2 linked regions of the Caenorhabditis elegans genome follow. The protein of the gene in region 1 purifies or fractionates together with the protein of each later gene. This does not show direct contact. Each region holds a gene or a part of one and is shown on either strand. Other genes may lie near its edges. The genes, in order: ZC262.5 and R07E4.3.

Region 1 (3,116 bases):
CTGTTACTTTTTGACCAAGACAGTAACCTTACAATACCACTACAGTACCTTGACATTATCCTCCACCGACTCCTAACCCAATACCTCTTTTTTTCCAGACTTTTCCCAATTTTTCTAGAAAGTTCTGGAACATTCCAGACTTTTCCCAATTTTTCTAGAAAGTTCTGGAACATTCCAGACTTTTCCCAATTTTTCTAGAAAGTTCTGGAACATTCCAGACTTTTCCCAATTTTTCTAGAAAGTTTTGGAACATTCCAGAATTTTCCCAATTTTTCTAGAAAGTTCTGGAACATTCCAGACTTTTCTCAATTTTTCTAGAAAGTTCTGGAACATTCCAGACTTTTCCCAATTTTTCTAGAAAGTTCTGGAACATTCCAGACTTTTCCCAATTTTTCTAGAAAGTTCTGGAACATTCCAGAATTTTCCCTAAATTTGAAAAAGGAGTTCATGAGAGTACTTGTTGCTCGATGCCAAGCCAATCAAGACACCGAGGGAGAAGATTCTCTCAGTGGACCAGCTCAAAAGCAACGAATTCAGTTCTTGGAGAACAATTTGGACAAGTTGACGAAGGTTCACAAGCAGGTTTGTCGTTTTTATTCTCATTTTGATTATCTTAAAACTTGAATTTTCAGCTTGTTCGCGACAATGCCGATTTGCGCGTTGAACTGCCAAAGATGGAAGCTCGTCTTCGTGGTCGTGAAGATCGCATCAAAATATTAGAAACTGCTCTTCGTGATTCGAAGCAACGTAGTCAAGCAGAACGAAAGAAGTATCAACAAGAAGTTGAACGAATCAAGGAAGCTGTTCGACAACGTAACATGCGACGAATGAATGCTCCACAAATTGTGAAGCCAATCCGTCCAGGACAAGTGTATACGTCTCCGTCAGCAGGAATGTCACAAGGAGCTCCAAATGGCTCAAACGGTGTGTTTAGTCAGACATCTACACCTTCAACATCTCGCAATCAGATACCATCAAAAATGACTATTTCACAGTTGATTGCAGAAATTTAAGATTTTTTAAAAAATTCTTTAGTGCTCATGTAATTTTTCACAAGTAATTATACTATGAATTAGAATTAGAGTGAGTGTTTCTTTTTCTTCCTACCGTATTATCAAATTTAACAGTCTTTTGTCCGTCCATTTTTCACTAATCAAAGTTTTTCAGCATAATGTCTCCCAACAACAACATCAACTCATCGTCTTCTTTGATCCAATCAATACACTGAAGACTGACATTCAAATGCTTCTCTATCTCTCTTCTTTTCCCGGCTTTGTGATATACTTTCGATGGGCTTTTCTGTTTATTTTAAAATCTAGTAACTTATACAATTACGCGGCTTCTGGAAGTTTCAACAAAAATATCTTCATTTGGTTGGTTGTGTCTCCCCATTTCGTTCCTTGGCTTCTCGTCTTCCATGTAGAATACAAAACTTCAAAAGCTAAAAGTATTTAAAGCTTCCCTCCACCCCCACCCAAATTGCCTTTTTCCGCCTTTTTGTTCTAATAGTCTGTTTCTATACGATTTTCCTGTTTCAGTTTTACTAATCTGACACGAGGTTTTGTCTGGTTCTTCCCCCCGTCACCCACCAACACTCCTATGATTGTTTTTTGCATGCGTTTGAGTGTCTTTAAAGCTTGCTTGCTAAATCCCCCTATCATTCTTCATAAGAAATCAACTTGTTTCGTTTCTGCACAATTCGGCCCCCAAATCCCCGCACATCCCAATTGCGTAATTCATTTTTTTGTATCTTTTGCTCTTCCAGTAAATAAAATTATTATTTTTTCTGTTATTAAATAAACGTTTTGCTGTTTTTTAAACAAGATTTTACAATAACATACGAGCAAGAATAACCAACAAACGCATGAGCTTAACTGATTAGTGTTCTGGAGTGAGAATATCATTGAAAACTATGAGAAATAAGTTTAATGTAATTAAATATTTATTGATAGTTTTGTTTCCATTTTGGACCAACTAATTATTATTCAGTAACTTTCGAATATTATCAAGTTTCCTGTTGAACTTTGACTGTATAAAGTTTTTATTTTTTATTTTACAGATTTCTCTAGTCTAAAGGTTGTTCTCCATACCTTTCAATTTACTTCCTTTTTCTGAAAATTTTATTATTTTATAGTATAAATTAAGGTTAAATAACTTTCCCCCAAAATCAAAAATGGTCGCCTGGAGAGCTGCTGGACTCAACTACGTCCGTTATTCACAAATCGCCGCACAAGTCGTTCGTCAGTGCACCAAGGTTTGTTGGACCCTTAAATAACAATATATGCCCCTTTAAGTGGTACAGTAACCCGTTCCGTTAATTTTCTGTTTATCATTTTTCAAGTTATAACCTATAGGTTTCAATTAAGTAATATGTTTCTGAAAATTACCGGTAATTAATTACTGGGCTCCTAAAGGTTCACACATTTTTGTCCCACATCAAAGTATGAAAAATCGCAAAAATTATCAAAAATTACAGGGAGGCGCCAACGTGAAGAAGCCCCAAGCCACCTTGAAGACCACTGCTTGGGAGAATGGAAAGATGGTGTCCAAGTCTCAATAGATTCATTCGATAATTGATCATTTCCATTTGAGAAAAAAATAAACAAATAGGTTTCATCAAGTTCGGTGCAATATGCCATTTTCCGCATTTTTTATTGATTTGTGTGCAATAATAAACTCTTAGTTTTGTTTGAAAGCGTTTGAAAAAGTGAGAAAAAATGAGTATTGACCAGAATAATAAAAATCCGACAAAACAAACTCCCGGAACGGGGTCCTGGCACGTGAAAAAGTTTTCAGTTACCGTACCTCGTGTAGGTGCTGGTACGGTGGCTTACAAGTTTCGCTCGTGCTAGAACGCATGGCAGTGTTTAAAAATATTTCAAATGAAGAAGAAGTACAGTTGTTAAATTAATACAGAACTTCAGCCTCCATAAAAAATCGCGCCGAGTCCTGGAAAATGATTCATGCACCATTAAACTCTAAATTTAATGTAGTTGAATAATACAAATGACAAATGACAATATTTTCATTCGATCAAAGTTCACTTAGTCGATAAAAACGAAGCAGGGAGACGACGGACACCTGAAATAATACATTAAAAACTAGATATTCCAATT
Region 2 (3,049 bases), on another chromosome or scaffold:
GCAGCGGATTGAAGTTTGTCCTTCTCTTCTTCCAGTTTTTTAACAGCATGTTCTTCAAGTTTTGCTTTAAGCGTTTCTTCATCATAATAAGTCTTGTCATCTTTGTCAAATTCGCGGAGTCGAAGAATAACTGGTCTGCGTAACCCAGTGTAGCGCTCCGTTGCACATGCAACTAGGAACAATGGATCTGGTGTCCCATCTGCTGAGGCTTTTCCGTCTTCATTCTCTTTGGTTTCGGCTTCTTTGTCGTTTTTCACTTCAGAAAGTAGATCGCCATTTTTGGCGTCTTTTCCTTTCTTTGCATTTGAAGGTTCGAGGGTTTGCAATCTTCGCTTTCTCCCTCCTTTAGTCAAATTTGTTTTTTCATTTTTGACATTTTCGGCTGTAATTGGACCAGACTCTCCGTCTCCTTCGTAGCCGTTTTCATTGTTGGGAACAAGGTTTGGAAATTTTTTTTTCGGTGCTCGAGGTTTCACTGGAACAACTGGCGCAGTTGTTTCAGACTTCATGTCGTCAATTTCCTTTTTGATATCTTCATTGGATTTTTCAAGGCTTGTATCAGAACTCCGATCGTTTTCATCTTCTTTTTCCAGGAGTGCTACAGGCTTATCACCAATGATCTCTTTCAAAACACAATATGCGACTGCATTATTCACTTTCGAACCTGGAAATAGGACAGGTTAAATAATTAAAACATTTGCATATTACAGTAGTTACCTTTTTTGTCATAGCACTTGTCAATTGGAAGAAGGAAACTTCTCGTCAAAACTGAAATCGTTTCCAGTGGCTGATATGTTGATGTGCCAACAATGTCAATTTTGGTAAGTTCGTAGGGCACATTTTTTCTCACAGTACAAGGTGCAAGTTCTACTCCAAAAGAAGTCCCGAAATTGACCGTTGTGACGTAGTTCTCGGTAATCTTCTTGTGAATTGTCGCAGCTAGTTTTTTTGAAGTTCCGTGTTCAACCAGATGAACATCGCTTTTGAGTCGTTCAGAAATATTTAGTTTGATTCCAGAAAAATCGAGAAACGTCATCTTTTTGTGGTATTTGTGGAACATTTTGAGAATCTGAATTTATGATTGTTTTTTTTTTATTTCTTATTTAAAGGTAAAGTTTTATGGTGTTACAATGACTGAATATAATTTTGAAACTTTTCAAAACATTTTGGAAATTAATATTTTTGGCCAAAAAGCGGTGACAACCGAGCTTGTGCCACTCTTCGAGAAATGAAACACAAATCCCTACAATGTTGGAATATAAATATTTTCAACATGAATAACATAAAAAAGGAAATTATTATTTTTCATCGATAACTTCCAAAACAGACTGGTGAAAGCTTACTTTTCATCGCTTTTTTGAAGTTTTCCGAACACTGCCGAAATTTTTTTTAAATGATATTTAGTTATTTCAACACCAAAAGAGTGATTTTTCACAATTTCCTCTCTGGCGTTACTCCACCTTTAATGTGGTGACAACTTACTTTTTCATTAACAATAGTGGATACAATGAAAAATAACGCATTTTCATCCTCATCGGCGTCCAACGCAGTTTTCCAAAGCGAAAGAAAATCATTCTGATCTGATGGCTCAAAAATCATACTTTTCGAATCCTCAAACATCTTCAGTGCTTTTCCTTCTTCCAGTTCAATGTAATTATCACCAATGTGCTGAAAAAAGTGTAAACTTTATAAACTATTGCTTCAAAAACTCACAATATGAACTCTATCGATATAGGTCGGCTGATGATCTCCTTTTTTGCAAATTTCACGCAGAAAAATGTACGCATTCTCCATTGGTGTCGCATCACAATCGATAATTGCATGCATTTTTATACTCGCGTCGACTAAAAAGTGAATTTGGTTGGGAAACGGCATTCCTGAAAGAACAATATTCAATTTCTAAAATAGCATTTAAAAAGTAAAGAAATAAAAACCACACTTTGCAAAAAAATCTAAAAATTGGATAATAAATGAGGAAACTTAACGTATAACGACAGAGGCACCCTCCAAGGTGCACACATTTATACGGCCGGGTCTCGCAGCGTGTTCTCAATGGAGCGTCCTTGCACACCAACCAACTGAGGCGCTCGTCGCAACTGCTGTATACTTTTTCCATTGAAATTTACTTTAACTTCTTAATTTGTTTATTATTTCAGATAAAAATGAGGCCTTCAGCCGTTGCAATGGGAAAACATTTTGGAAATTTGGGAAAAATGTATGGAGAGCATAGATTTGCATTGGCTCCAAACGAACAAAAAGCTTATAAAGGATTCTTCGATCAGGCATTTGTGAGAACCTTCAAAACCTACGTTTGGGATCAATGGTACTACTACATTCCACAAACTATTGGTGCATATCTTCTCTACGATTGGGCCAAGAAGACAAATGTTGCTGCAAACCGCAAAAATCCAGCTGATTTTGCCAACGACGAATAACTTGTGGAAGAAGTTGGATTAGTTATTTCAATGTATTAATTGAAATCAACGTTGGAATTTTTTCTCAAATAAAATGTATTACTAGAATCACAATGTGTTTTTGTACACAAGCATATCAAAATATGATTTACTTTAAAACTGCAGTACAAGAAAAAAAGCTAATTATTTTGTCAGCTGATAATGTTTTCATACGTAAAAAATCAGGCGGGAGAACTGCCAAAGTTAAGCAAGGAAATACCAGACTAAAGGATCAAATGCGGTATTCTAATGTTTGATATAGTCAAATCAAACATTGCAAACATGCAAGATAGACTATTATTAGTATGTGTACGCATTAAAACAGTATAATCGGCAAGAACCTCTAATAATTCTTTCAAAAACGTTTGTAGTAGAATAATTAAACACTTGAATACATTTTAGATTTTTCAAAAACTTCAGTCAAAATTGTGGCAAGTTGCCAAATTTTCCGAAACAAAATTAGTAAACCGTAGGACGACTTCAAAAACAATTATATAAAAGAGCAAACTGAATTTTCACTACTTCGTGACTGCACATAAAACAATCGCAAACTTAAAAAATTTTTTGCTATTGTTTTTAGTCATTTCAGGAACGTG

What was found.
Region 2: the proteins of ZC262.5 (region 1) and R07E4.3 fractionate together in Caenorhabditis elegans (co-fractionation; one large-scale study listed by BioGRID). This does not show direct contact.

Annotation. Positions count from the first base shown.
Region 1 is NC_003281.10:8,341,668-8,344,783, reverse strand, and holds ZC262.5 (Putative ATP synthase subunit epsilon, mitochondrial), read left to right. Parts: upstream 1-2,173; coding exon 2,174-2,254; intron 2,255-2,476; coding exon 2,477-2,560; downstream 2,561-3,116. Other genes in the region: ZC262.7 (Kinesin motor domain-containing protein), read left to right, coding at 448-582, 633-1,013. UniProt on the Caenorhabditis elegans protein: Mitochondrial membrane ATP synthase (F(1)F(0) ATP synthase or Complex V) produces ATP from ADP in the presence of a proton gradient across the membrane which is generated by electron transport complexes of the respiratory chain.
Region 2 is NC_003284.9:5,951,296-5,954,344, forward strand, and holds R07E4.3 (Cytochrome b-c1 complex subunit 8), read left to right. Parts: upstream 1-2,162; coding exon 2,163-2,435; downstream 2,436-3,049. Other genes in the region: R07E4.5 (VWFA domain-containing protein), read right to left, coding at 1-664, 718-1,069, 1,483-1,668, 1,714-1,875.